4 linked regions of the Arabidopsis thaliana genome follow. The protein of the gene in region 4 purifies or fractionates together with the protein of the main gene of each other region. This does not show direct contact. Each region holds a gene or a part of one and is shown on either strand. Other genes may lie near its edges. The genes, in order: AT2G27720, AT5G61170, emb2171 and AT1G74050.

Region 1 (5,070 bases), on a different chromosome or scaffold from region 4:
GCTATTGTGCTGTAGATTATGTTTCTGTTAAAGTAATTCACCATTGTCGCTGATACGTGGGATACAGTAATAGTTGACACTTGATACATTAGTATCTTAATTCACCATGTTTATTTAGCAAAAACAAATTTACCATGTTATGATTGATGATGACGAAAAGGATTGTAAGAGTCCAATGTTACTCCTTATAGGTTTTCTGTAATAGTTTTTATGGAGTTTTCAAACAATTTCAGGGTTTTCAAAGTGAACGATTTTGTTAGTTCCTAGAATCTCTCTCATTCACTGTCTGCTTTAGTTAAAATGAGTTTAATGTTTTATGCACAGGATACTTCTTCATTACCATGGCAACAAGAAATGCTTTGAGAATTGTGTCTCGTAGGTTCTCTAGTGGCAAAGTTCTTAGCGAAGAGGAGAGAGCCGCTGAGAATGTTTTCATTAAGGTAAAGATCAGAAGCTTTCCTTATTGATGTGAACAATAATAGTAGACTAAGAATCCTCGAAAAAACTATAAGTATATTTACTTTCCTTTTGTGATGTTGATGATGAACACTTATTATCAAGCTCTTGTTTGATTCTATCTGTCTCTGTTGTAAACTATTAGATAATATTTGGTTTTACTTATAAGAAACTTATCTTGTGTCTTAATCGTAGAAGTTAAATCTATTTGTTATCTAAACCTTGTAGCATCTAGCTTGAACTAGAAACCTGTTACATAATACTTACTCTTTTCAAAACAATTTATATTTTTGAGTAAGTCATCTTCTGTCCTTATATTTTACCTTGTTTATGGTTTTCTACATTGCAGAAAATGGAGCAGGAGAAGCTTCAGAAGTTAGCTCGACAGGTAAATAATTCCTTTAACTCCAGTTGTTGAAACTACGAATAGCTTGTTTAGATAAAGAGAAAATTTACAGTCTTGTGTGGCTGAAACTTCTTATGAACTTACTAGGGTCCTGGAGAACAAGCAGCAGGGTCAGCAAGCGAAGCAAAGGTTGCTGGTGCAACAGCATCTGCATCAGCTGAGTCGGGCCCAAAGGTGTCAGAAGACAAGAACAGAAACTATGCGGTTGTGGCAGGTGTGGTTGCTATTGTCGGTTCGATTGGTTGGTACTTGAAAGCAGGTGGAAAGAAGCAGCCAGAGGTCCAAGAGTAAAGAGATAGATTGATTGATGGACTTGTGATGAGTGAATAAAACAGGGAGTAGCATTACTCATTCCTCCCTTGTGAGACACTTTGGAATCAAATCTTACGTTGCTGCTACTCTCTTTGAGTCTTTTCTTTTGTTTTTGTTACTTGACACAGTTTTTTTTTGTTTCCGGTTTGTTGACATTTAGTTTCTCAATCTAAACTCCAGAGACTTATTTTCGCTCTCTTTTGATCAGAATTAGGTATATCTTTATTCGGATAATCCTTCCCATCCAAACTGAAATTGTTAGTACCAACATTTTTTTTATCAGAACATATCTCGAGTACTGTGTTGATTGGATTCACATATCTTATGTTTCCAGAATCTGAACAATACAAAGAGGGAAGAGTCTGTTTTACACTACACCAAATCCTTACTCTAGGGAATTCTTCTGTATTCTCTTTAGGTTTAATTCTTAGTAAGCGAGTGAATAAGAGAATTTACTAAAGATCGTTCATAAGTGGACTATTGAAGATGTAACTAAGGCAATAGTTTGAAATATAAATGCCAATCACAAGTGGACTGATGTTTGAGTAAAAAAATCTCTTGAGAATTTCAGCAAAGTCTAAGAAGATAGTCGAATACAACAAACTAAACAACGACATAAAGATTTCGAAAGGGTACAGCAAAACCAAATGCCAAGTATACCGCATTACTCGAACAAACTGAAACCCATGTCCTGCAAATTGACACAAAACACACAACATGTGAGCCATCATTTCATTTGAAGAGATAAAAAACTGTTGTCAGAAAGAAAGTAAAACTTACATCATCGGATTCTTCTTTCTCTTCTTTCTTCTCTTCTTTCTTGGACTCAGCAGCAGGAGCACCACCACCTCCTCCACCTCCAGATGTAGCAGAAGCAACCGCAACACCACCACCACCTCCTGATGGTACTGAAGCTAACTTCTCCCTTCCAGCAGCAATTAGCTCAGCCAAGTCTTTCCCTTTCACTTCCTTCAACAAAAGCTCAATCTGAGAATCCTCTGTCTCAGCACCAACTGCAAAATCAAACATAACAATTGCCACACTCCATCAATTCTTCCTCCACCACAATTACAGCAATCACCTATAACAACACAGTCCAATACCAACACCATAATGCCTCTTATTGCATCACACTGTTCATTTCCAGCAAACATATACAATTCCTAGTTCCAATAACATTTCAAGTTAAACAAATTCTCACTACTAGAATAATCATGTATACATTCCAATGCTCAAATCAAAGTCACGAACCTGATCCAAGAATATCCTTGATATCGCCAGTGGTTGGGGAAGCTTTCCCGCTCAAGACGGCAAGCAAAAACGCAGCAACAACCTTCATTTTCTGAAGAAAAACAAAAACAGATCAAAAATCAAACATAGTACGATTACGTAGGAGAAGAAGGAGAGAGAAATGGAAATGGAGGCGCTTACTGCGGAAGTGTTGATGGATCTCGCAGGAGGCGGAGTGAGATTAGGGTTTTTAGACGGCGATGGAGAAGAAGTACGAAAAAATGAAAACTATATGATTTATATACGCTTAGGGTTTTTAATCTTATCAATGTATCTCCGAATTTAAAATTTTATTTAGGCCCAGTTCTTTCAAGCCCATATTTATATGGGCTCAATATTTCGATTGACGGGTAATATTGATGTTGAGAAGAGAACGACCAGATTATACAATTCTCTAGTTTTATTTTGTTTGATGGATGGGATTTCACCTCTAACCTCGTCTTCTATAGCACCTTCTTGGTCGATGACATCAAAAGTAGCTTCAACTCTACACCTGTTGTTTCCGAAACATCGCCTGCGTATGGCATTTCTCGGTATATGTAGTTGACAAGTGATATGTTTTGCAAGTTACTAATAAATTTGTGGTGTCAAAGTTTTAGCATAGTCTAGTTATTTTCTCATACGAATTATGATGTATTTACATATTGGACGGCATTGAAGGGGGAACAATTCAAGACTAGAATTTTTTTTTTATCCTTTTCTTACAATAATACTATTCTTGAAGTCATACGTAAGCCGAATCTGAATCTAGGTTCCAAATGAACGACAACGTATCATTAGCAAAGTCAAGGCTAGAGGTATCTCATCACCATTCGAGTCAAGATTTAAGACCATGACTAGGACCAATGCTTTTGTTGGCTACTAAAAACTCCAGAGTGACAAAGGCGATTGAGATAGAAGCAGAAATGCTAACAACAAAGTGCAAATGACATTCGGGTCAAAAACTCTTGAGAATTTCAGCAATGTCTAAAAAAGATGATCGAATACAAACTAAACAACAACAACATATAGATTTCAAAAGGTTACAATATTAAAAGAGGACAACAAAACCGGACTTTTCATGCTACTACCAGCTTACTCGAATAGACTGAAACCCATGTCCTGCAAATTAAAAACAAAAACACACACAAGTGAGCCATCATTTTTAGGTTAAATTTCAAGCTACTATTAAGATCAAGACTTTTGTTAGAAGGAAAGTAAACTTACATCATCGGATTCTTCCTTTTCTTCCTTCTTCTCTTCTTTCTTGGACTCAGCAGCAGAAGCACCACCACCTCCTCCACCTCCAGATGTAGCAGAAGCAACCGCAACACCACCTCCGCCACCAGACGGCACTGAAGCTAACTTCTCCCTTCCAGCAGCAATCAACTCAGCCAAATCTTTTCCTTTCACTTCCTTCAACAAAAGCTCAATCTGAGAATCCTCTGTCTCAGCACCAACTGCAACACCAAACAAAAACAACAATGCCACATTCCATCAATCATCCCAAACTCATTATTGTATCCCATTGTTCACTAAATCATTACTCTTAACAATACTTACGCATCTCGACTATCATAAACACCGTTTAAGTCGATAGGAACCATAAAAATCCCTAATATACATATCATTTCAGCTTAAGCAAGTTCTCAACTATCTAATAAAGATTTCAAATCGAATTCTCCAGCGACTCAAACAACGAATCTAATCATATTGTAATGAAATCGATTGCGATTCATCAAAACGAACCTGATCCAAGGATAGTCTTGATATCGGCACTGGTTGGTGAAGCTTTTCCGCTCAAAACAGCGAGCAAGTATGCGGCAACAACCTTCATCTTCTGGAAAAATAGTGAACAGATAAGTAAATGGAGAATTTGATCGGAGAAGACGATGGAGAAATTGAAATGGATTAGTGTCGTTTACCGTGGAGACTGATAGATCTCGTAGGAGATTGTGAGATTAGGGTTTTGTGCAGACGGCGATGAAGAAGTGAAGAATTAAGGAAGTATTTTTAGTTTATATACAATTAGGGTTTTCTCTACTTTGAGTCTCTCCGGGTTTAAACTATTATCGGATATGTTTAATGGGCGTTGGCCCGGTTCATCGCTAGGCCCAATATTAATTTTAAAGGTGATGAGAAAATTTCTCAATTCTTCAGTCAATAAAAACCTATTTCTTTTGCAAACTTTATAACTCTTGATAATAATGTTCATATAAGTGAAATCATAAAACAATATTGTTTGTGTAAACAAAACAATTAATCTTGTTATCACTAATAAAAGTGAAACAAATTAAATTTATAATTAGTAAATAAAGTAGATTTATGCTTTTTAAAAAAATCTTTTTTGCAGTAGCTAGATTGTGTCTATATGTGTAATCTTTTTTATTTTTTATCCTTTTAAGTAAGTTAGAAAAATCTTTAAAATGTATTATATAAAAACATTAATGGCATTGGATATGAATAATAATTAAAGATTTACAAAAATTTACCTTTTAATATATAGTAGATTTCATTCCATTTAAAATCATTTATGTAAATGAATCTTAATCCGAGAAAAAACAATTATATCTTGCATGGTCTAGAAATTATTTAAGCAGCATCGTTACATACTTAGAATCGGTATA
Region 2 (5,745 bases), on a different chromosome or scaffold from region 4:
CTCCGGCCCCTCTTGGTCCCTTGAGCTTGTTTAGGACCCAAATGTCTTGATACCTCATAGGCAGAATCATGATGATGACGTCTAGTAGTGAGATCAATAGGTATGTTAGGACAATCGCCATTAAAAATGCTTGTCCATAACCATACGGTCTTTGCAGCAGCGATGAGTGGCGTTGAAGCTTTCTCAGGTCGAGCCAAAAGAATGTTATACCTCTTCATACCTAGTTTGTGAAGAAGATAAGAGAAGTCTTTATCACCAGAGATGAGCATTATGTTAGCAGGAGCTTGGTTGTCCATTGCCCACAACATGATATCTACAAGGAGCTTCTTGTCACTCCCGTCTTTTACTCCTGTTAAATGCTCACCATCATCAAGAACATAGAGAATAATTAAGCCATTAGAGACTACAAAGCAAAGACTGGTCTCACTAACTCCAAAATATTCATACTTTAATTTATAGCTAATCAGGTGTTTCAAGAAGAGAGATTAACCGGCAGGGACGTGATTGAGAGATACGCCGGTGGAAGAGAGAGCTTGTTGTACAGAGGAAGGGATTTGATTTGTGTCACCATAGGCATAAATAGTGAGCGGACCACAGAAGTTACTTTTCGACAGAACTGATCTAATGCTCTGAGCAACCCCATGAGGGTCACAACCCTTTGGAACCTCGCAGTTCTCAATGTCCCACCAAACTGACGTTTTTGCACCAGCGAAATCCGCCTTCGCTGATTCATCTACGTCCGTTTTTGGTTGATGGGTGTCTTTGGCCGAGATGTGACTGAGTCCAAAGCGGTTAAAGACCAGAGGCTCATCAAGAGGAGCGACTTGATCGGTGTTGCCATGAGTAAAAATGGCATCAAAACTATTGAGAACCTCGCGGTTCTCTGTGTCCAGCAACGCCAATGATTTAGCAGTTGCGTACTCTGCTACTGTAGCCGCCATTTTTAAAAGAAATCAAGTGTTCTCAAACAGAGAAACTGAAATGGGAGGTCAGGGTTTAGAGATTGTGTATGAGGCGTGAGCTTTTGAACTGGAATTAAAAGGGGCAACGAGTTTTAGAAACTAACGGAGACACCCTAAATTAGTGGAGTATATGTTTTCTTGAATTTGAAATGTCCCTCAATTTTCGAAATTTAAAATGTGATCATATAAATTGTAGTATACGTAACGGTTTCGATTCTCAAGATTTTGATTTTGTTTTGAATATTACAAAATAATAAATGTAATTCGTTTTTTAATGGTTACCTCCGTTTACAAGAAATTTTAAAAACTTTGAAACGTTCACAATTAGTTATTGGTAATCTCTGTTTCTACACTTTGATTTTGAAGAAGAACGAGGAGCTTAAATGTAAAAACCTAAACAAGCCATTATCAAAATTTTGATAACTAATTTCATGAAATAGAAAGGAAAGGAGGTCAAAGATGAAATCAAATATATAAGCCATAAGTCGCTGAGAATAAAAAGAGAGGCAATTTGTAAACGAAAACTCATCAAAACAAAAATGAGAGGGAATTCTACTACTGGTTTTCATCAAATGCAACTCATTCCATTACTAAATCTCAAACATAAACCTTAAACTTGGAGTTGACCATCAGTCGCTATGATTTAGACAGCAGCTGCGATCCTTCCAGCGACTTGGTCGAGATCTCTCTGACCACTTGATGTGATCTTCCTTCCACTGGTTACATCAGAACATGTAATCATAAGCTAGCGAAGATGAACAATTGCTTCCATAGGTATATTAGTAAATGACGCAGTAGTACATTCTAAAACCATTTATACACACTTCATCTAGTGAGTTTTAATAGGTCACAATTACAGTTTCAGCAGATTTCTTAAGCGAAAATCGAATCCAAGTGTCTAACTTGTGTTATACAATTTTTATTTTCCTACAATTTCTTTGTACCAGTGTATTAACTTAATTTAGGCCAATGAGAAATCTAAACTAGAGACAATATACTTACCCCTTGGTGTCGAGGTCAACAATGTTCATGGTCTGGAGTTGCTGAAGAATGTGACGAGCAACACCACCACTGCTCTTGCAGAAATGAGGAGGACGGCTTCCGTTCCTCTTGCTTCCTCCATAGATCCTACGGAAGGCACCAACTCCAAGACCACCCCTCAGGTAAACCTTCCTAGCCATGGAAGCTAAATAGAACAGATAAAGACAATGCTAAATCCAATATGTAGAAGATTTGACCAGATGTTATATATACATACCAGCTCTGATGTAGTACCAGTCAGGGTCATATGGAGCAAGCTCCTTAAGTTTACCAGTCTTGACGATGTCTGTCCACAGAGGCAGCTCAATCTACATGGAAGGAACAACATTGGAATCAAAAGCAGAAACCTATCTTCACTGAAATGACACTAGCAAATCACTGTTTAGACTTTATTGAGATTTGTAGTTACGATTCAAAATGCTCTAGAGTAAGGCCAAATTCAAGTTTCAATCAGGCAGTGATCATTGCAGTTTCATGAGGTAATCGTAATCCCAAACATCAATCAAAATACTAGATTAGGGACAAACGATGCGGACCAAAAGCTAAGAATCACGATTCGTTACCTTGCCGGAACGCTTGAGATGGGCAGCGTAAGCCTTGACGAACTCGTGTGGAGAGACATCCTTCACTGTTTTACCTGTCGCCATTGTTGTCGCGCCTTTGATCCTTCTTCTCCTCCTTTGTGCTGCGGCGTCGGCGATACTTGAAGACGGGATTGAGGAATTATGATAAACGATTAGGGCTTTTGAGGAGTGTGTGTGAGCGGATTTTACATAACTACCCTTATTGTTTTAGCCTATGGGCCTATGACATATATTCGGCCCGCTAAACTCTGAACCCTTTGGAAAATATTGTGGTCCCACGTTTCTGAGAAAATTAAAACAAGGATTTTTTTTAAAAAAAAATTTTTTATAGATAAAAAAATAGAACAAAAAATAATATCACAATTTCGTAAATTATTGTTGTTTTTCCGAAAAAAAATTCTTTGTGGAAAATACACGAGTAGTCATATGTTATTCATCATTTTTCTATTTAAAAGTTTACTAAAAATCTGGTGAAAAATGATATACATCTTTTTTGTTACTAAAATTGTTTTTTGTTTATCTAAATGTAAAGATTAGTACCCACATTATTTAATTGTTTTGTCTATCTAAATTCATGTATTTTTAGGGGAATAATAAAACCAGTTACCAAAATTTAATATAGGGTTCAGGAAATTAATAGAAGAAGAATAATGAGATTGATTTACACAAAATATGGTAATTGAGTGGGGCAAAAATAGGATTTGAATTTCGAGTAAGGGGGTCAATTTAATATTTGAACCCAAATTATATACTAAATACCAAATAATTAAGCTATTAAATTTTTTTTTGTAAAAGTCATGGGGTCAAGTGACCCCCCTCCTGAAGCTGTACCTCCGCCACTGCGTATCACAGCTTTTTTTTTCTGAAATCAAAGTTTCGATTTTTCAAAGTAGGGGGAAATAGATTCACTGATCATGAAAAGTCTACTAATATTTCAAATATGGATGATTATTGTACCCCAAAAAATAGAATTCAAAAGACAGAATCAATACAAATTTGCGTAGTACATATAGGGCAATTATTGAACTAGAAATAAAAATACAAATAAGCAAAAGCTGGGATCGATTAAGACCGTACGTTTTCAGTTTCCAATCCATTTGTAAAATAAAGACAGAAAAGTATCCATCTCAAGTTTCTTCAAAGAGATGCCAATCTCGACGCCACCGATACCATCTCTCCTCTTGGACATAGAGAACTCATCGTTCTTGTAGATAGACATTGTCTCAGTGTGAATGGGTCTTCCCCACCCGAAGTCCGTTTCGTACATCCCAATCTGGTTCGACCCGTTTACGACCAACAACTGTGTACCCCATTTCATTGTCTTTGTTCCTTCCTCATACACTTTCCAAGTTGACTCTACCCCTTGTGAAGCCAAACGTTTGACCGAATCACTGAGAATCTCGACGGTGTTGACAAATCCATCTTCTCCCATAAACTCCTTAGCTTTGTATTTATAGAAATCCATGGCTAAGACACAAGTCCCGAAGTATGTCACAGGGACTGGTGGTTCTAACCGGTTCCTAAAATCAGCAGCGTACATGAAACGAACCGGTCGGTTTGGGTCACCACTACGTGCCTTCACCATGCATGTCCACACATGGGCGAACGTGACTACGAACGTTGACAAGTGAAGCTCAGCGCGTGTTGACTCTTTCTTGGCTCTCTCCTTGAGTTTCTCAATGTTTTCAGGACTTATCTCGATGGTGATTCGGAGGACGTTGTCTTTAGCGTTAATCTCTTTGACTGGAGGTAGCTTTAGGGTTCTTCCGTTCTCTTTGTCGTCCTCCGTAAGATACGGCAGAAGTTCGAGCATCTTTTGTTCAAGTCCGGCTGGAACATTGACGACAGAACGATCTAAAACCGTTGGTAGAATTTTCGGTATGGTGCCATGTTTACAAGTGTGAGCCCATGCTTTGTTAAATTTTTCAGCCGTTTTGCCGTCCAAGACGACATGGTGGGCTGTGGTTCCAATGCAGAAGCCTTGTTTCGGGAACAAAGTGACTTGCAGAGATACAACAGCCCCCGAGTCAGAATAAATCGGTAGCTCGGGTATTAGAGGGCGTAACTCTAGCTCTGGACGAAGCCCTCTGCCAGAGATACGTGAGAAATCCGCATCAGTCTCAGCCACTGTGAGAGAGAGTGTGTCTCCTGAGAGAACAACTAAATGCGGCTTTGGATCTTGTGAATCCCACTTAAGGTGACCCGTGAATAGGCGAAAGTGAGTGAGGATGAGTGAAAGAGATCGCTCGAGCTTGGGGAGGATGGAGGAGTAGAAAACGTCGCGAGATGATGATGATTCGGTGAGTTTGTAAAAGAAGACTTGCTCGGTAGGGTTGAGTTTAAGCCACTGTAAATCAAAGAACGAGAGTGGGACAATGAGCGGGTCGACGGAGGCGGTTGCAGGGCTGACTCGGGAGATCTTGATCACCTTTAACGCCATTTCTCACTTGTACTCTCGTCTTTTAGATAATATTCCTTTGTACGTATGAGTTTATTCAGCTGAGTATCAGATGGAGTTAACTCTTATACTAACATAACAAGCTACCGAGTCAGCCCTAGTCAAAAACGTTGGTTGGAAGCCAAGGCACGTAATTACCATTTGAATTATTTTGGTCCCTCCAGAGGCGGCCAGGCGGCTTAAGCCAACTGCGACTGCCAGATATCATAGATAAAAATTGTTATATATATATATATATATATATATATATAAAATATATAATTTTATTTTTGTGGTTTATATTTATTATTTTTGGTGGTAAAAACATTCTTAGAAGATAAATTTTTGTAGATAAAAGGCTGAAAAATAAATTTATGGAAAATATATAAATAAACATTTGTGAGCAAAATGTGTCTACATAAAATTGTAATTTTCTCGAGTTAAAAAAAAGCAAAAAGTGAAATTTCCAAAAGCCTTAAACTAGTTTGAGTAATTTAAAAGTGTCCATAGTTTTTTCTTTTTTCTTTTTATTCCATAATTTCTTGAGTTTTTCAGAAATTACTATAATTCTGTTTAAATTTTCAGGATTTCCTGAATATTCATGATGTTTAGTTGTCACTTAAGTTTTCATAGAACACAAGTCGGTTATGCTTTTACCTAATCTTTGTCTCTTGTTAATTTCTAAAGCAGATAAAATCTATAAACCAACAACAATGTTTTA
Region 3 (5,851 bases), on a different chromosome or scaffold from region 4:
GTTTCTTTAAGATTGTGATTTATTTTGCTTATTTAAAGTGCCTTCTCCATTTAAAATTGCGGAGATTGCGGAGATTAAAATTGCGGAGATTAAAATTGCGGAGATTAACCTTATTAGAACTTTTACTTATTTACCCATTAACAATCTTAAAGAAAGCCATCGCGTTGAGTGGATTTGGAGATTAATTGCAGATTTGGAATTGAAGATACTCTCGGAAAGGTTTTTTTCTTCGATAAAGTGAGAAAAAAAAAGAAAAAAAGAGAGAAGAGATGGGAAAAGGAGAGAGAAAAGATGACCGATGGAAAAAATGTAGTTAAAGGGTAAATAAGTAAAATAATTTATCTAAAGTGTCTTCTCCATTTAAAGTGTTTTAAAGAGTCTAATCACGTAATATTCTCTTAGTCTAATGGGGTTTGGACTTAAAACATAAAAGTGACATGCTGCACGTAAGATGTAGACTAAAAGTCTAAAATAGAAGCATCTTCATTTGATATTATCCTTGCTTTCTCTTGTTGAGAACCTGAAATCTTTTGGGGGTATTAGGTAGGACTTAAAAAGACTCGATGTTGATTGCTATGTCAATGAAAACTTGACCATTTTATTAGTTGTATAGTGTATGAAATGAAATTATCCAACTTTGTCTTCTCGAACCACTTCTCATTATATCACAAATTCACCGGTTTTATATATTGGGGCACACATACAATAGGGAAAATTTACAAAAAAAGATAGACATGACATTCATACAACTTGTTCTTCTATAACCACTCACTATATCACAAGAGTACTCACTACTCACAGTCACAAGGTTACAAAACAAGAGAGACATAACTTTTCTACAAATTTGGAAAAGTACTAAACGGTGTTCTTGGTCTCATCTATTGTTATCATGTTCTTGAGATAGAAGAAGATTGGTGAATTTTCTTGACTAATCTTTGTATCATCGTGTAAACGAAACTTGCTCTTTTCTTCTTGATCTTCTCTTGACCCAATTTATGCTCTCAAATCTCAGTCCCTTGACCCAGAGCTTGGCTCACCTGGAATATTTTGAAAGAATCAACAATTTGAATTTCTTTAATCTGGTTCCAATGTTGTGAGTGGTGAAAACAAAGTAACATGATTAGCATTAAAAGTAAAAGTAAATAATAAATCTCACCTCTTGAGTTAATGACACTAACTAGATTGTTGAGTCAGGAGATTGTTGAGTTTTGATTAGGCCTATCTGACGATTTGAGCCAGCAAGACTGTCCCAAGTGCTTGGAGTTTCAATAGAATTCTGTGATATCAACCGAAATTATAGCTTTGTGAGGTGAAATCTGAAACAGAGGATTATAAAGGTGAACATAGTAGAATTTAGCTTACTGTTTTTGGAGATAGTAAATCAGAATCATTATCATCACTGCTACAATCACTGAAGACACCAGTTAATGAGTTTGGAGGTCTGTAATCATTGCGATTATCTTGCATAAACATGATATTCCTCTGTTTATCATCATCATTCAACCATGTTTCCCATTCCTCTCTTGGTATAGCATCCTCTCGATTTGAGCATCTTGACGCACATCAAGAAACCCACTAAACCAACTTGGTATAGCATTCTCGACTATGCTAATGACTTACATCGACATGGCTCGTGTCACCATCGAAATTTGTTGGCCGGAGGTAATGGTCGACGATCTCCTCTTTGGTCGGACGGAATCTGAAACCCACCGGATTCACCATTTTTCGAGAGTGAATAAAGTTTCAGTTTTAAAAAAAATGGAGAGAAAAAGAGGGATCAGAAGTATTTCGCCATTGTTGCTATTATGCAAGTTCTTTTGGTAGGAGGGAGAAGACGGATATATACACAATTTTCCTATTATTCATGAAATATTGAAAAACAGATTCCCAAATCCACAATTGACTTGCTAATATAAGAGTTATATACAAATTTTTAGGCTCTACTTAAGTCTGTTCACACAATTGATTCGCCCTAAACATATTTCTAATTGCGTAACAAAATAGTGTGAATCACTTGAATTCTATGTTTTTTAAAACAAAACCGAACAAACACAAGAACCAGTGAATCAAATCACAAGTTTACGATAGACTAAAACACTGAGGTGACAAACTGGCACGAGAAACGAAGGTTCTTATAAGAACTAGAATCAGCTTTAAGGCATAACAAAAGTCTAAGACAAAAACAAAAAACAATCCCAAATAGAGATAATGCTAAACGTTCAACACAAAACATAGAGATCTCAAGCTTGCTTAAACGATGGCGTTCGCAGCACTTGCGATTCTTGGCCACAGATCAGCACACTCCTTTCCGATTGGTCCAGTGATAGCAGATCCTAATTACATCACACAACAGACTCATCAGCTACAAGTAAATATGATACTACTGATTTATCACTACGAGATTGGCTTTGAGTTGCCCCATATCAAACTTCTAGATAAATTCAGATACACAATACTTCCTCTAGTAACTACTAACTCATCAGGAGGTTATCAAAACTTGCATACATAAACAACTCATACATCTACCAGAGAATTCAATAACAAATAAGCAAAAACATCAACTTCTTACCTTTCATTTCACCCTTGGGATTGACAATGACACCAGCATTATCTGCAAAACCAAAACTTTCTATCAGACAATCACACTTCAGAGAAATTGAAATGCAAATCACAGAGAAGAAAAGCAAAGGATTACCTTCGAAATACATGAAGACACCGTCCTTTCGGCGCCAAGGCTTCCTCTGCCTAACAATGACAGCAGGAAGCACCTTCTTACGGAGATCAGGCTTACCTTTCTTAACAGTAGCCATAACCATATCACCAACACACGCTGATGGCAAACGGTTAAGACGACCCTTGATTCCTTTAACCGAAATGATGTAAAGGTTCTTAGCTCCGGTGTTGTCAGCACAGTTCACAGTGGCTGCCACTGGAAGACCCAGTGACATCCTGAACTTGTTACCAGAGGTTCCTCCTCTTCCTATTCACAAAAAACAAACACAAAAGTTACAGATCTAAACACTATCAACCAAAGTAGAGACATATAAGACTAATATTCATGATCCAGAAGCTTTACTAATAGAAATTAGGGTAAAACCATTGTCATTGAAAGTGAAATGAAGAAAATAAGCGAAAACAGGATATGATTCATACGAGATGTACACAGATTAGGTTAAGCGAATTAGAGATGAAGAAACGTTTTTTTACCTCGCTTCGACATGGTTGCAGAGTAGCAGCTCTCTCCTTGAAAGAGTTTCAATGGCAGCGCCGAGAGGGTTTATATACGCTTGAACTAGGGTTTTCTTCATGTATTGTGAGCTGACCTGGACTTTATTTTATGGGCCGAAATAATTTAACAATAAGCCCAATAATGTTCTCTTTCTTTTCTCATCATCTTTTTTTTGGAAATCATCTTAGGCCCAATATATCATAAAGGATTTTGAATTTTTTTATTTTTTTTATCAAAAAGGATTTTGAATGTAAAATTTGATCGGCTAGCAACATACAGAGATGGACATTTTTGTCTCCACCAAAATCACAACTGTAATCATCTTCTCAAAACCAAAAATAAAAAAGTAAAGTGTTGCATGTATCTATCTTTATCTGTTGATAAATTAGGATTGCTATTTTCAGTTGCAAGTTAAAACAATCGTAGAAGCTTTTTACATGGTTTTGATGAAATGACAATTGATTTCGGTTCGGGTTTGAAATTACATGTGATTTCTGTTTGGTTTAGATGGTTTTGAAATAAAAATTAATTTTGGTTCGGTTTGCATTAGAATTAATACGGTTTTGAGAAAAAAAACAAAAGAAAAAAGTCACTCGAGGCTGTTTTGGAAACAAAGCGAGTAGATGTAAAATAGGCATGATTTTGTGGGTTTACCCCTACAGAAATCGACGACACGCGTTCAACGCGAGGTTGGTGCGAGTGGGCATGGAATGGAGCGCGTGGCGCGAGGTTGGTGCGAGTGGGCGAAGTCCGGAGCGCTCTGATTGGCTGAAAAAATAGAAATAATGTTGATGTAGCTCCTCCTCTCCTCCTCTATTATTAATTTTTCGTCATTCTTCAGTTCTGAAAGTTGTCTGGTTTTAAGATGCAATGAAATCTTATTCTATAACCTTTTAAAAAAACGAATATATCTAATTATATAACCTTAAAAAAAAAAAGAATATATCTAATTATATAACCTTGTTCTAATTATTAAGTCCTCCTTCAATCTATTAGATTATTCGTTTTTTTTTAGATTATGAAATAAATTATTTTATTCTTATTATTACTTTTTCAAAATTTTATGTTTGTTGAAACAACAGTAGTTTACATAGCAATACAGATACAAGGGTATTTTCGTCATTTTCCAAAACGACATAGTTTTCAGGAGCTGAGGGAGGATGAGGATGATAAATTGATAATAATAAGAATGAAACATAAAATTTGTATGTTTTTGGTTATTTTGAAATCATTGATTAATGTCACACAAAAAAAAAATAGAATGGATTTTGAGATAATAAAATTTTCATTTTCATTTTGTTCTGCAGACATTGAAAACTAGATTCAGCTGAGCCCTTAAGAAATCAAAGTGAGTTGAATATTTTTCTAAAAATGTGAAAATTGGTAAAAGTTTGTCCTCATTTTGCTAGAAAAAGGATTCACTTTAAAGTTAAAAGAATAATATAAAGCTTGTTTGGAAATCTCAGCATTGCACTACCGTTGCTTGCAAATCTAGAATCTGGATTTTAAGATACTTCCGGTGCTCTTGTTCATGTTTGCACCAATGGGACTGTTTTGGTGACACATGGAGGTGTTGAAATGGGTTAAGGATATGCATACAAAGGTTGCTGCAGCGGCCTTTAACATTCCCCTTAGTTCGGTTTTTGTGTCAGAAACAAGCACATACAAGGTACCTCTAACTCGGTTACATGTACTCTGTGGACTTTGGCCAAGACAAAACTGTTATTGTTCTCTCTTATCATTTTTGTCGTCTCTTAATAGGTTCCAAATGCCTCACAAACTTTTATTGCTCTCTTGTCGTTTTGATTGCCTCTTAATAGGTTCCTAATGCGTCACCTACTGCTGCTTCTGCGAGCTCTGATATGTATGGTCCTGCAGTTTTAGACGATGTTAAGCATATTATAGCAAAATTGGAGCCTGTTACATCTAAACACAATTTCAACACCATTCGCTGAGGGTAGCTTTCGAAGAGCTCAAGTGGGGAGATGCAGCTCATACATGGATTAAACCATGAGCTTTACTCACTTGCGGACCTGGAAACTAAAAAATACCTTAAGAAGATGCTTTACTCACAACATTCCCTTTCTCTTCTCAAGGTATGCAACCATAAGAAGAAGCACTTCTGAATTGGTAGAAACAAATTTGGAACTGATGAACCTAGGATTATACTTTGTTTAATCCGAATAGAAATGTTGGTCAAAGTCATATATGTAAGTAACTTCCAGTCTCCAGTACATGTAACATTACAAAGATATAGGTTTCTTCAAATCAGTAACTTCTTGGAGAAAAAAAAACAAAGAATGTAAAATTTGATAGTTCCAAAAAAACTAGCAACAATGTATAAATAAAAATATAAAATATGTAAATAATTCTTCTATGATGACCAAAATAAACCAATAAATTACAACTTCTAAGTCTAAATATTAAAATTTTGTTTAACATTACAAATCATTGATGCGATGGATCACTCTTGGCTGAATTTACCAGTGATGGGCTCCTTTTCGATCCAGTCTTTACGCTCTAGAACTCTATTAAAAAAGGTTTATTTATTTTGACATATGCCATGAAATTTGAAGAACAGAACTAAACAGTGAGTTTCTTTGGTTAGGCAACATAACACTT
Region 4 (6,056 bases):
ATCAAATCACAATTTAGATGAGTAAACGTCTAAAAGATTTTTATTTTTTGTTACCGTTATTGTTTGTATAAAAAGAATATGAGTTTTGGTTTACTAAAATAACTATGATATAAAACAGAGTATTTGGTTAAAACATTGAAACAAGAACAAATTTTCTATAAATAGTGAAGGCATTTGCCCTAACAGGAACGACCGTTGAGCAATCTTTTAACTACCAAAACTAAACTAAACTAAGATAAGATTTATTTCGTAATTGTTACCTTCCATGACAAACAAACCAAAAGACAACAGAAACTTGGCCAGAAAAGTTTTAAGAACTCGTTCATCTCCTTGATTCAATCTCTTTTAAAGAAACTCCAAATTTTCAAACAACAATTCGCTTGAATACAAAAGGTTTTACGTTCCCCAAGATTCAAAAATGTCAGAAGTGCGAACTGGATTCCTAACCATGACAACAATAATCTTGATAAGTATAGGCCTCACAATGATGGGAACAGGTCTATACCAAAAAACAACAATGTCTTCTTGCATCCGAGAAACCTCAAGCCAGTTCACGTTACTCGGTCTGCTTCTTCTGCTGATTCCTCAGATCGGTCTATACGGAATCTGTTGCCGCTCCAAACGCCTTTTCAATTTCTTCTTCTACGGCATGGTTGTGCTCATTATCATTGTATCTTATTATTCAATCAAATGTTCCATTTACAACACCACTTTTGGCATAGCTAAGAATCCCGCCAAGGACAACCGTACCGTGCCACAGTTACTTGGTAGGTTGGTCTCTAAGGAGAAGTTCGAGAAAGTAACCTATTGTATCATTCACAAACATGACTGTAATTACAATGCCAGCAAAAACAGCAATGTTTGGGTAAGTTTTGAATCTTTTTACTATTAATAAGAGACATGTCTATATGAAAATGTGCATGCTTATATTTAGGATATATGTGCAGAAGTATTGCTGTGCACAACCGGTGGGATGTGGGACCATAACGATGTTCGACAAGCCAGGCGAGTGGAGTTGGAAACATCAGTATGAACGGAACCAAGTTCCAGAAGAGTGTTCTTATGAGTATTGTTTAGATTGCAGAGGCTGCCAACTAAGCATCTTAAAAGCCATTGTTCATCAATGGAAATATCTCTCGATGTTTGCTTACCCTGCTCTAGTCCTTTCCTGCATCAGTCTTGCTATAGCTTGGTCTCTCAAGGAGACTATCCACGAAAACGAAGATTATCGAGGTTCTTATAGTTGATCTATGATTTAATCCTAGAATACTTACTTCAAATTACATCAAAAAGTGTCAGATTTGTAGAAATGCCTATAGAAAACGGTGAATGATTTTTGAATGAGATAACGCCAATGTTCATGTAGCTTGCACATACATACCATTTTGATGTTTATTCTATATTTATGTTCAATTTCATACCGAGTTATATAGCATAACGATCCCCTTTTTTTTTGACAATAATTATCCCATTTCTATCACGAACCACGCTACAAAGCTCACAATCAAAAACAGGATCGATAGTTTGTCCATACGTAAGAACAGAGAATGTATAAGCCAAAAATTGTATGTGTTCAGTGAACAAGAACAAAACAACCATTTAGAAGGTAAAACACTTCAGGAGACAGATACTCTAGAGACCTCAGAAAAAAAGTAATGAAATCTAGAAAACAAGCTCATGGGGCTTCATTCCTTGTTTCAATGAAAACCTTGCGCCAAGGTAAGTCTTCAACTCTGGAACTGCTTCAATGGCTTTGATCAAAGCTGCATCCACAGCTTTCTGGTCATCTTTCTTCACCTGTGGGATCTCCTTCTTCTCCTGTGAAATATAAAAGAGAGATGTTATGTCAAGCATATGTTTTGGTTTGGAAAATAACAAGTGATATAAAGATATTTTCAATGTCTATTCTTCCGGAACAAACTGTGATAACCAAATTTAAAGGAGAGAAACACAAGATGAATTGCGTCCTTTCCATGTTTTGCGATATAAGGTTATACCTCTTTCTCAGCCTCAAAGAACTCTCCTTCTGTCTTCTTCTTTTTCTTCTCAGCAACCTTGCCAAAGTACTTATCATCGAATTTATCGAGGGTGACTCCAGAAATGTCAACCTTTGTGGAAGTGCCAATCACATAGGCCTGGTTAACACGTCTCAAAGGAACACCATTGATCTTGAATGGTCCTAAAGAATTGTTAAAAAAAGGATGAACAATTCAGATGGTAAAAATCAGTGAATGAGCTTCGCTTCAAATGATTTATAGGAGACAAGTTCATGAGAACAGATAGAGAATAACTCACCAGTCACAAGAAGCAAACCAGAGGCAAGCTGCTTAAGGAAGACAACTCTCTTTCCCTTGAACCTACCAGCAAGGATAATCAACACTGTACCTGGAGTAATGCTAGCTCTGCAATACAGATATAAGAAGATCGGATCATGTTGGAAACATATATAAGATCTATTGAAGACGTTACAGAGCATAGACATTAAATTTGGTATACAAATGAAAATCAAATTCGCTTTTTTTCTTTTTACTATCAACCTGAGACAAGCTTAATCATACTAATAACAGTAATGTATAAGAAAACTAGATGTATTCACAGAAATTATGAACCTTTTGAAATTCAAGTTTAACTCCACTAACAATCTTCACAAACCAATGCATTTCAACTATTCTTCAAATATCCTAGAGACAAATGATTTACACAATGCAAAATTTGGACACTTTTCCAGCAGATATTCAAATCTTATACAAACCCACTTAGCAAACGAGCCAAAGAAATCAACCAAACACATGGAAGATAATTGCATCGATACCAGTGTCAGACTAAGTACCTGAGCTTGGTTGGTTTTGCCGTGCGCCTGTTGGGGAGAGGTTTCTTAACATCTTCAGCTGGATAGAACTTCGGTGGCTTCTCCACCGGAGCATCAACCTTAGATTTAGCGTCGTGACGTGGGAAAACGCCTCCATTTTTGGCCTTGATAGCCCACAAACCTCTCTTATGGTACATCTGGGATCTCGAGTATTTACCAACACCCCTGATCAGATCAGGGTTTCTGTTGACCTTCGGGGTCCTCTGTTTCGCCGGCATGGTTCTCTCTGTCGTAATGAATCAAGGAAAAATTTTCCGGCTGAGAGTGGATAGAGGAGAGAGTTGAGGCTGAGGATAGGTGAATTTGAAGACACTGAAACCCTAATTAAATTTTAGGGCTTTCTTGGGCTCATGGGCTTTACAATTATATCGGCCTTTTAATGTGGACCGTAACATGCATAATAGGATTTGTTTTTTCTTACAACTTTGTAGTATTAAATCTTTTCACCTAAAACTATTTTGACAGGATGATAAAAAAATCAGAGTTAGAGAGTAGTTTATCTAAAAACTCAGGCTAATAATCCCCACACAATTTGACCAACGCCAAAATCAGAGCAAGACGATTCCTTCACCTGTAAGAGTGCAATGGATCACATATATCATTTATAATTAGTTTGAGACGCTTTTGATGAAGCTGATGAGGATTTCTCCGCTTTATTCACCTTTACATGTCCTTCTTCAACAAACATTGGTCGGCTTAAAAGCTCTTCAAAAGATCAATGTGCACATGCCTATGTATATATATACTAATGACCCCGTTACTCAATCAACAAATATTGAATCTTGATCACCGAAAACCAAAATTTCATTAGATTCAATGGCTATGGCTAGTAGTAGTAGCAGCTCGTCATTGTTTCCTATCCAACAACAACCTCAACAACAATTAGGAGGCAATGAGATCACACCTATGGCTACCAATGCCAATCTAATCGCAGCACCAAACGCTCCAAACCATTACTCTTCCAGCTCCATTGGACCCTTCTTCGCTGTCATATCTGTTCTCATCATTCTTGCTGTTCTCTCCTGCTTCTTGGGTCGATTCTGCGCACGGAGCCGCCAGAGAACTGGTCTAGTGGCTGAAGTCAATCCGTTGGAGATGATAAAGAGTGGTGGGCTTTTAGGTTGGCTGAGACGAAAATGGAGACGGTGTTTGGCCGGAGATGTTGAGGCCGGAGCTAAAGTTGCTGATTGTGCTAGCAAAGAAACACCTAAAGATAATGATCAAATTCGTCTAGAAGCACCTCCAGCTTGATCTCGGTGCATGTGACAGAGACTAGTAATAAGAGTTTCAATATTCGAAGTAGATTGTAAGCTAAACTATATCATTATTGCAATGTTATTTTCAATTCTCAATTTCATCACTTCGTCATGACTTAAGCATTACTAGAATCTTGTGAAAAGTTCTCCTTCAAAAACAGGATTGATAAATTATCCATATAAGACAGAAATCCAGATAGCAGCAGCCAAGATTTTATGTCTCTGGTCAGTGGACGAGAACAGAACCAACCAGTTGGAGTGTAAAACTTCAGGAGACAGATACACTAGAAACCTCAGAAAAAAAGTAATGAAATCTAGAAAACAAGCTCATGGGGCTTCATTCCTTGTTTCAATGAAAACCTTGCTCCGAGGTAAGTCTTCAACTCTGGAACTGCTTCAATAGCTTTGATCAAAGCTGCGTCCACGGCTTTCTGGTCATCTTTCTTTCCCTGTGGAATCTCTTTCTTCTCCTGCGGAAGGAAAAAAAGTATATGGAGGTCACGCATAGCTTTTAATTTGGGTAGTGTATAAAGGAGAGAACTTTAATCGTCTATTACAAAATGAGAACCAAATGACTCTTAGAGAAAGACAAGAAGAATGTTTGGGATACCTCTTTCTCAGCCTCGAAGAACTCTCCTTCAGTCTTCTTCTTTTTCTTCTCAGCAACCTTGCCGAAGTACTTATCATCGAATTTGTCGAGGGTAACTCCAGAAATGTCAACCTTTGTGGAAGTACCAATGACATAGGCCTGGTTAACACGTCTCAGAGGAACACCATTGATCTTGAATGGTCCTAAGGTCAATAACAAAACAGGAATGTCAACTTTATACAGAATACAGAAAGCAAGTTTAGTGAATGGGCGTTCTGCATTTCGAATAAAGAATGTGGCAAATAAAGAAAGTAGATTAGCATAAAACTCACCAGTCACAAGAAGCAAACCGGAGGCAAGCTGCTTAAGGAAGACAACTCTCTTGCCCTTAAATCTACCAGCAAGGATGATAAGCACTGTCCCTGGAGTGATGCTAGCTCTGCAATAGAGAAATATGAATATCGGATTACAACATAACAAATTCCGAACAATGTAACACAAAATACAAGCAAAAGAGGCAAACTTTCCACAGAAATCAAGATAAATTCACAAACCAAATAGAACAGACCACAATGACTAATTAACGATTTCAAAACACTAAGCTAGTCAAAAAATTTCGGGAGATTCAAAGATTTAAATGCATACAAAGCACTCCTTAAGAACCAAAGAAAACAACTATTGCATTGAGCTAGATTTCAGACTCCAAGACAATGAGACAGTGTATCAGCTAAGTACCTGAGCTTGGCTGGTTTTGCCGTGCGCCTGTTGGGGAGAGGTTTCTTCACGTCTTCAGCTGGATAGAACTTCGGTGGCTTCTCCACCGGAGCATCAACCTTAGATTTAGCGTCGTGGCGGGGGAAAACGCCTCCATTTTTGGCCTTGATTGCCCACAAACCTCTCTTATGGTACATCTGAGACCTTGAGTATTTACCAACTCCCCTGATCAGATCAGGATTCCTGTTGACCTTAGCTGTCCTCTGTTTCGCCGGCATCGTTACTTTCTCTCTGTTGCAATCCCTGGACGATAATCAAGAAGAGACTTTCCGGCCGAGAATAAATTGGGTAGTGTAGCAGAAGAGGATAGGTCACATTTGAAGACACAGAAACCCTAGGGGATGCGTGGGCTCGTGGGCTTTAGAGTAAATTCGGGCTTTATTATGGACCGAGACAGTTTTGTTTTGGGCAAATAGAAATAGTAGAAATTGTTTATTACACTCTTTAATATCCAGTTAAGGCCCAAGCAATTCAATTCTGTGGACTATGCTCCGGCCTAACCGCGCAAGACAACAATTTCTCAATCACACGCTTATAATTACTCAATTGATAATGTAGTTCCACCAAA

Evidence for each region.
Region 1: the proteins of AT1G74050 (region 4) and AT2G27720 fractionate together in Arabidopsis thaliana (co-fractionation; one large-scale study listed by BioGRID). This does not show direct contact.
Region 2: the proteins of AT1G74050 (region 4) and AT5G61170 fractionate together in Arabidopsis thaliana (co-fractionation; one large-scale study listed by BioGRID). This does not show direct contact.
Region 3: the proteins of AT1G74050 (region 4) and emb2171 fractionate together in Arabidopsis thaliana (co-fractionation; one large-scale study listed by BioGRID). This does not show direct contact.

What each region holds. Positions count from the first base shown.
Region 1 is NC_003071.7:11,816,139-11,821,208, reverse strand, and holds AT2G27720 (60S acidic ribosomal protein family), read right to left. Parts: upstream 2,514-5,070; coding exon 2,426-2,513; intron 2,338-2,425; exon of another isoform or gene 2,292-2,337; coding exon 2,247-2,291; exon of another isoform or gene 2,204-2,246; coding exon of another isoform or gene 2,188-2,203; coding exon 1,955-2,187; intron 1,866-1,954; coding exon 1,839-1,865; 3' UTR 1,631-1,838; downstream 1-1,630. Other genes in the region: AT2G27730 (copper ion binding protein), read left to right, coding at 342-440, 806-844, 950-1,153; AT2G27710 (60S acidic ribosomal protein family), read right to left, coding at 3,539-3,565, 3,671-3,903, 4,193-4,280. UniProt on the Arabidopsis thaliana protein: Plays an important role in the elongation step of protein synthesis.
Region 2 is NC_003076.8:24,608,063-24,613,807, reverse strand, and holds AT5G61170 (Ribosomal protein S19e family protein), read right to left. Parts: upstream 2,777-5,745; 5' UTR 2,651-2,776; coding exon 2,567-2,650; intron 2,312-2,566; coding exon 2,221-2,311; intron 2,149-2,220; coding exon 1,965-2,148; intron 1,679-1,964; coding exon 1,606-1,678; 3' UTR 1,244-1,605; downstream 1-1,243. Other genes in the region: AT5G61180 (Putative endonuclease or glycosyl hydrolase), read right to left, coding at 1-403, 491-941; AACT1 (anthocyanin 5-aromatic acyltransferase 1), read right to left, coding at 3,669-5,027.
Region 3 is NC_003074.8:1,164,708-1,170,558, reverse strand, and holds emb2171 (Ribosomal protein L14p/L23e family protein), read right to left. Parts: upstream 3,310-5,851; 5' UTR 3,221-3,309; coding exon 3,208-3,220; exon of another isoform or gene 3,154-3,207; intron 2,981-3,153; coding exon 2,696-2,980; intron 2,612-2,695; coding exon 2,570-2,611; intron 2,334-2,569; coding exon 2,251-2,333; 3' UTR 1,836-2,250; downstream 1-1,835. Other genes in the region: AT3G04410 (NAC (No Apical Meristem) domain transcriptional regulator superfamily protein), read right to left, coding at 1,354-1,482, 1,621-1,722; AT3G04390 (Aldehyde oxidase/xanthine dehydrogenase, molybdopterin binding protein), read left to right, coding at 4,794-4,898, 5,050-5,184.
Region 4 is NC_003070.9:27,845,594-27,851,649, forward strand, and holds AT1G74050 (Ribosomal protein L6 family protein), read right to left. Parts: upstream 3,416-6,056; 5' UTR 3,088-3,415; coding exon 2,831-3,087; intron 2,403-2,830; coding exon 2,296-2,402; intron 2,180-2,295; coding exon 1,998-2,179; intron 1,819-1,997; coding exon 1,663-1,818; 3' UTR 1,445-1,662; downstream 1-1,444. Other genes in the region: TET17 (tetraspanin-17 protein), read left to right, coding at 419-865, 948-1,247; AT1G74055 (uncharacterized protein), read left to right, coding at 3,686-4,120; AT1G74060 (Ribosomal protein L6 family protein), read right to left, coding at 4,440-4,595, 4,736-4,917, 5,047-5,153, 5,450-5,706.